2 linked regions of the Cricetulus griseus genome follow. The protein of the gene in region 1 interacts with the protein of each later gene in a pairwise test. Links are inferred from orthologs where the notes say so. Each region holds a gene or a part of one and is shown on either strand. Other genes may lie near its edges.

Region 1 (3,569 bases):
CAAACAACCTGATTTCCAGCCTCATGAGGAGACCCTGTGTCAAAGGAAAAAGGCAGAGGACACCCAAAGTCCTCCTCTGTTCTCTACACATATACACAGTGTCTAAATACACGTGGGTATGCACTACACACACACTGCTAACACATAACCACATGTAATACCACTAATGGGTAGGCTGAGGCAAGAGAATTTTGAGGTTAAGCCCATCCTAGTTTTAGGCTACACAGTGAGTTCCAGGCCAGCAAAGGTCACATAGTGAGACACTATCTCAAAACAAAACAAAATCTGAAATAAAGATAACCATAAGGAACGATAAAGAATCAGTGACTAAATGGGCAGAACCCATGAATGGGTAATTACACACATTAGTCAGGCTCCCTAGGCAACAATCAAGTTGTTTCTCGTCTCTCAGGCTAGCAAATATATGTAAAGGTCTGTGCATACAGCGTCTGGTTTAGCTCTGTAAAAAGCTTGCCTTGCAAGCATGAAGGACCCGAGCTTATTTCTCTGGGGCTCGTGATGTGCTTGAAGCTGCCCTTGACATGCTCACAAGCAAACATCAGATGCTGTCTGTTAGTCCCTATGTTTGGGAGGCGGACTGCAGGTTAAGTAGGGGTACACACACTTCTCATCCCAGGTCTGGTGAGGTGGAGACATTGAGTTCCTGGGGCTCTGTGGTTAAGTGAGCCTGTTGAGTTCCTGTGCCAGGTCACTGAGACCTCTGACTTCCGTGTGCACACAAATACATTTTTTTTTTTTACAGTGGGATGTCTAATGGTGGGGATGCTGTACTGCTGGGCTCCGAACAGGCCTTTTAGAAGACAGTTCTGATGATAGATTTAAAGTCTGTTCTCAGGCCCAGTGATTCCACTTCTGAGAATTGTCCTCAATAACTTCCAGCAAAGTGGAAAAACCTTCACATTTAATGATTGATGTCCTGGGGGTTAATTTCCAAAGGGAATTGGAAACAACCTAAATGCCCAGATAGCCTCAGAGGGAGGCCGGAAGGAGTCCTCAAAGTTATATGAAACTGTTAAGAAAAAAAGAGACTCCTGCGGTGCTGTTGAGTGAAAACAGCAGGGCTCCAGTAAGAGCGGCTGAATAATTGTGTGTAGGAAGGCAGAACCAAGCCAGGAGGAACTGCCAGAATGCAGTTGCCTTTGCCTAGCAGTAGGCACCATGTTGTAAGGTCAGGCCAGGTGGCAAACTCACTATTGCTGTGGGCTTAGGTTGATGAACTGTTTGCTAGCAATAAGCAGGCGGAGGAATGCCTGAATGTGAACATGGGAGCATGTCAAGAGCCCCTATGCACACAGACTAGGCCTTTAGAACTCTGGATCCAAACGAAGAGTCATTCCTGAAACTGTAAGGAATTTGTAACCAAATGCCACTGGTGTAGTTCCCATATATCCCAAGTTCCTTCCTGCAGCCTGGGCTTACCTACCCACAAGGTAAGGAGTGACTTGTTTGCTCAAATCAGTCCCACTGCCCCTATAGACACCGTGTTGCCAATGCAGAACCAGAGAAGCAGGGGAACACTGGCTCCTAACCATGTGCAGGAGGTGCATCTGCACCGAGTGGAATCCATCAGTGAGCTTCACAGCGGAGGTAAGGGTGCAAAGGATGTGGGGAAGGATGCTGTGGGTACCACCTTCCTGACGAACCACCCTCCCTGCAGGTTCGCTACAGCCCTATCTGGCTGAAGAGGCACAGACATGGGAAGAGCTTCTGGGTGTCCTGCCGCCATCACTGTGCACCCAAGCTGGCTGCAGCCCCATGTGTGGTCGTGGGGGGTTTCTACTGCTATTGGCACTGCTGGTATTCACCTGCCTGGCACTAGCCATCCTGGCTGTCTACCTAAGTGGTAGGGACAGGAAGGGAACCTAGGGCACCTGCAAATGCAGCAATAAAGGGTGGGGCCCGGGTCACTGGGCGGTTAACCCTTGGTGCTGGGCTGGCTGGAGATCCGAAATGGCATGCAGTCTAACAAGGTCCCACAAATGTCTTCCCATCCCCAGTGCTGCAGAGTGAATCCCTGAGGGTCTTGGCACACACACTGCGCACACAAGAGGAGACTCTGCTCAAATTGCGCCTGGCTAGCCTCAGCCAGCTAAGGAGACTCAACTCCACTGAAGCTCGGGCACCCAGCTGAGATGCCGTGTGAGGCGTGTGAGGGGATAAAGGGACCTTTGGCAGTCTCTGTTCTCCCGTCGACGGCTACACCTACACTACTTCCTTGGTGAGATTTTTGTACAAGAGCCTGATGTGACTCAACAGCTGCCTGTCTCTCTTGACCTCTTCAGGCTAGGCCTGACCAAGCCCTCTGGTGCCAAGGCCCTGCTTTGGATAGCCAAAGGTCAGAGGATGGGGCACCAGCCTCCTCGTGGCTCCTCCTATGGCCTGTCAGCACCCTCTGGCCACCCCCAGATAGGAGATTCAGAAGTCTAGAAATAGCTGTTCCTGCTCAGCCACCCACTCTGCCAGGTCTCCTAGTGGGGGGTCCAGTCTCAGCCCTCAAACAAGCTAGGCTGAGTTGGGGGTGGGGGACCACACTGGCAAAGACTGCCTTGGAGAACAAAGGTGAAATTGAGATCTAGCTGGGGCCAAGCCGAGGGTGGTAGATGAGAGGGAAGGCAAGTAAAAGACTCAGGATAAAAGTCATGGGGAATAAGTACTGTTTAATTCTCTCTTATTTTTAAAAATCAGCACACATCCATTCTAGGCAGCTTTGCCTACCCTATACCATGGTGGACAGGTGCCAGACCCCCCAAAGGAAGTGGCCCTAGGGGGCAAGATCTAAAAAAGAAAAGGGGTAGTCCTTTCTCACCTGCCCCTCAGCTCTGGGACCAGCTCGCATTTGGTTTCACCTGAGACAGGACAGAGGCCATAGCCACAGGGCTGAGTGCAGACACAAAGGGCCAGAGTCTTAAGTGTCCTGATCCCATGGCCCTCCCACATTTGTCTATTTTTGGTTTCATCATTAAAAAAAAAAAATAAAGTGACAATTGCTGGCGGGGACCAGTTCTTGCACTGTCTTCTGTTAAAAATATGGTAAGGGTATGAGTAGCCTTCTCATTGGCCAGTCAGCTTCACAAGACATCTGCCCGCTTGTCCCTCGCACGACTCCGGGCCTTGGTCCGAGCTTTGAAGGCGGCAGCATTGTACAGGTGCTGTGGAAGAGGCAAACCAGGGAGCCTGGTGAACTGGAAAGCTCAGGCTCCTCCCGGAGCCCACTCACAGCTCGAGGCCTCCAGGTTACAGGATGCAAGATAAAGGTGCCCAAGATGCAAACCTTTTCAAAACGTGAGATCTTGCAGGCCTTCAGGGTAGCGGCATCCAGCACCAGCACAGGGCCCAGGCCAAAGATGTCACGGAGAAGCTCGTTGTTCTGAAGATAAGACAATTAGCTAAGGGCAGTCTGAAGCAGTTAAGCTGGGTAGACCTCCGGGTAAGTCCCCCTCACCTGGAGGTGATAGTGCATGCCTGAGCCCAACACATCCTTGAAGGCTGTGTAGATGCGGTGGCGAGCCCAGCTGTCTATGCAGAGCACTTCCAGTCCAAAGCGGATT
Region 2 (4,042 bases), on another chromosome or scaffold:
GAATGCTCATTTTGAGACCCAGAAGACTATAATTGGTAACTTTTATCACAAGTGTCACATTTTAAATTAAGCTCGAAGAGATGAAGATGTTCCATCACCTTGTCCTGCAGGTTCAAAACAAAATTTGAACTCAAATTTCCCAATTTGTCTCAAACCCCTATCATTTGCAACAGCACCTGATCCATCTCTTGGTCACTGTTTCCCCCTTGTCTAACTTTCTAATCCTCAAATATTAATCCGTGAGATGGGAACTACAGAGCCTAGGAACTCTACTGCCAGAGGGTGACTGTCTTTAGTTAGAATCTTAGAAAACGACAGCTTCTTGAATATCTGAAACACTGCTTTAGGAATTTCGAATCAGGAGAAAATATTGTCATGTAAACTGTCTATTCTGAGGACATTTTCAAAGATTCCTTGCTATTTCTTTGAAATGTTCCTGGTGGTATTCAGATTCAATTCCCAGGAAACCCAATAAATGCCATCACAGAGTCAAGTCAGCCATTGTTGACTGCTTCAAAATTAATTCTTGAGCCACAGCAATTTGGCGGAGAATCAGTGGTTGGCTGGCCAACCACACAGCACTTCGCTACTTTCAACTCATTTTTACATATCAGGTTCCCAGAAATCTTTGTAAGAAATTACTCAATGATCTGGAAGTTTCCATCTTTGTAAACACCAGTAAAAACACACCATAGGAATAAAAGCCACAAGATGAAAAAAGAAAGAAATACAATTCAATAAATGAGAACACTCTGGGAGGAGACTGAGGTGCCTGGATTTGCAGGAGGATTCTACCACTGCAGAATTAGACCGGCCAGCTGGGATGTTAAGAGGTACTCGTGGACTAAATCAAGGCAAGTCAATTAATGTGAGCAACAGACAAAATGGAGTTAAGACCGAACGTGTTAAAGAAATGCCTCTCAAGGAAGAAACTAGAAAAATAAGGCCCAAAGCCATTTTGGTTGCTCCAACAAAATGAAGAGAATGAAAAACTTCTAGATTGCTCAGCCCTCTAAATCATGCTATCTACCATGTAGCCAATTTTAAGTGCAAAAGACAAAAAACTCATTTCAAATCTCAACATTTCACACAAAAACCTTTCAAAATTGAATTGTCCAAAGTTTAATTCTGAACTTGATCTTCTACACAGAAATTCACAAATCAAACTAGCTTTCAGAGGAGACCTTAAAATAACTGACCTCCTGCATTCATTCATAAGAAACTACAGGAGGCACAGAACTCCAAGAATGAATGTCACCAGGGAAGACAGATCAGTGTGGACTCTGACTTGGAAACAAATCCAAATAATTTTGATGTTTTAAAAACAGCTGTACACTTGAGTGAGACACTAACCTACACTGACTATCTGATAAAGAACCAAGTTGGTTAGGAAGAACTGGTGGCAAGCATCTGGTGTTTGTGTGTAAAATCCGAGACAAGTAAACACCACTTTAAGGCAAAAATAAGCTGATTTGAGAATTCTTCACTTATTTTAAGTCAACCAATGCCTAAAGACAATAAACAAGAAACTGCTATGAATGTACAATCAGAGAAATGTGAGAATCATGAAACTAAGGTCCTAAGGAGACCACCACTGAAGGTTAAGCTGGTCCCGAGAAGGAGCTGACAGATTACAGGGAGAAAAAGACTTCATAATAAGTCTTGAAGTAAACTATGTTTTACTGTGGTAAAAACTCATTAAAACACACACAGAAAATGGGTGATGGTAGTGCACTCCTTTAATCCCAGCACTCGGAAGGGCTAGAGGCAGGGGGATCTCTGTGAGTTCGAGGCCAGCCTGGTCTACATAGTGAAATCCAGGACAACCTCCCTGTCTGGGGGGGGAACACATATACAGGACTGCAAGTAAAGTGCTTGTCTGGAAAGCAGGTCTTGATTTGGATACTCAGAGTCCACAAATCAAACTGGCAGCCTCAGTAGAGGAGAGGTAGAGGTAGGATCCCTGTTTCCAGGAAAAGATGTAAGGACTGTGAGGAATGACACATGTACACAAACATGGGGGACACATAAAACATACACATGCACAGAACTGAAAACGTAGGGAAAGAAATCCTATTGAGAATGGTTCCTAGGACTCTACTTGGAATGAAAGTGACAACACACACCACCATGCTCTGGATTCCAGTGTTCCCCACTGTGCTGTATCTGAGGGTTGAACTGAGTCACAAGCCAGATTTCCCCTGAGGAGTATCAGACCTTCCAGTCTGTTGAGGACACAGAACAGTAATCTGGAAGAAACCCCTTAAGTGACATGCTTCCTAGCCCCACCCTCAGCAGCAAGGAAACAAGTCCATGTACCCAATTGCACAGATGGGAGCACAGGTTATGCACTTAAAACGCTTAAGTCAAGATGCTAGGTAGGGGCAATAAGGCAGAATCTTTGAAGTTGGCTAACATAAGTCCGGTTATGTATAATGCTACATTTCTTCATCTCCATGTCTGAGTACTCAAAGCTTTATCTCCTTTTGTTTCCAATACAGAGAGCTGTCTCATTCCCTGTGGCCTGGCTTGACTCCTTCTGTCAGTCATAAACTGTTTCTTCTATTAAGAAGGAAGCACTTTTAGTGGGAAAAGACCTTTATTGCCAAGAGGAAAGCACACTGCACGTCCTGCTCTTGGCTCTTAGGGACAAAGGTTGGCAGCCTTTCTGGCATAAGCTAATTATAATGAGAATCCCCAAGGGCTTGAATGCAGCGTGGAATAACACCCTTTGATGAGCCCACTGGCACGCATTCCACTTAAACTTAATAGTAGCTTTTCTAAAGGAATGCGTTCCCCAAAACTATGTGTCACATGAAATACCCTGCATGTATGTATCATTATGTCAGTATTTCTGACAAACACAGTGTAAACAAGTTAACATTTGGCTGCTAATTTTTCTTATTATGAAATACCATCTTCTGCTCACTACACAGAATAAGACAGAACATCATAAACACTTTATTTGTGGATTCCAATTATTTTTACAGAGATATTTAATAAACAGAATTCATTAATTTGTAACACTGTACATTAAATTAAAATATAATCCACCCCTACATCAAAAATTATCTAAATTTACCTCAAGATAAAAAACTGTCTCTAAAAGCTTATATACATTAGAAGTAGCAAAAATAATAATAAAGGAAGAAATTAGAAAACAGCCATCAAATGCAGACGTCTAGAAGAATTCTCCAACATCTGCTCTCTTATCTCGGCATTTGCTTCGAGCTTTTGTTCGAGCTTTGAAAGCTGCAGAGTTATATAAATGCTGAAACGAAAAAGAAAAATATATACAGATCAAGAAGGCATAATACTCTTATAAAGAAAGAAACTAGGGGGAAGAGATAAAATCACAAAGGAACCAGACAGGTAACAGGTGTACTTTGTCATAACAAAGTACATTAAAATTCTGTTACATATGTCACCTCAATAAAATCCAAACTATACGTAACAATTTTTGAAATGATAAAAAGGATTCCCAGTAACTATTTCATGCTTTACATGTGCTCCTGTAAAATAAGCCTGGATCTTACCAAGCTATTACAGTACAACAGAAACATGCAAATGTTCCCATAACCAGGCAGAATAAGTGTTTTGGGTCCATTTTTCTTCAAAAGCAAAAGAACTGAAGAGAAACCAGAGTGGCTGTGCATTTACTTCTATTAAAAAACAAAAACAGGGCTGGAGAGATGGCTCAGAGGTTAAGAGCACTGACTGCTGTTCCAAAGGTCCTGAGTTCAATTCCCAGCAACCACATGGTAGCTCTCAACCATCTATAAGATCTGGTGCCCTTTTCTGGCTTGCAGACATACATGCAAGCAAAAAACTGCAAGCATAATAAATAAATCTTTAAAAAAAAAAACAAAATAACAAAAAACCTACCCTTTCAAAACGAGAAATCTTCATGGTCTTAAGTGTTGCAGCATCAAGCATCACAGGGGGCCCAAGCTCAAATACATTGCGAAGGAATTCATTTGTCTAAAATAAATAGAATATACGTGAAATCCAGGAATCTATTTCACTGCATAATAGTGAATCA

Evidence for each region.
Region 2: the proteins of Lsmem2 (region 1) and Lsmem1 interact in binary tests that used the Homo sapiens proteins (3 or more experiments, as listed by UniProt). The two-hybrid records come from large-scale screens. The link is inferred for Cricetulus griseus from reciprocal best matches to the Homo sapiens genes LSMEM2 and LSMEM1.

Annotation. Positions count from the first base shown.
Region 1 is NC_048597.1:215,774,639-215,778,207, reverse strand, and holds the end of Lsmem2 (leucine-rich single-pass membrane protein 2), read left to right. Parts: 5' UTR 1-1,511; coding exon 1,512-1,608; intron 1,609-1,678; coding exon 1,679-1,864; intron 1,865-2,018; coding exon 2,019-2,152; 3' UTR 2,153-3,018; downstream 3,019-3,569. Other genes in the region: Ifrd2 (interferon-related developmental regulator 2), read right to left, coding at 3,090-3,170, 3,293-3,388, 3,464-3,569.
Region 2 is NC_048598.1:161,480,786-161,484,827, reverse strand, and holds the start of Lsmem1 (leucine-rich single-pass membrane protein 1), read right to left. Parts: upstream 2,802-4,042; 5' UTR 1-2,801. Other genes in the region: Ifrd1 (interferon-related developmental regulator 1), read right to left, coding at 3,182-3,271, 3,886-3,981.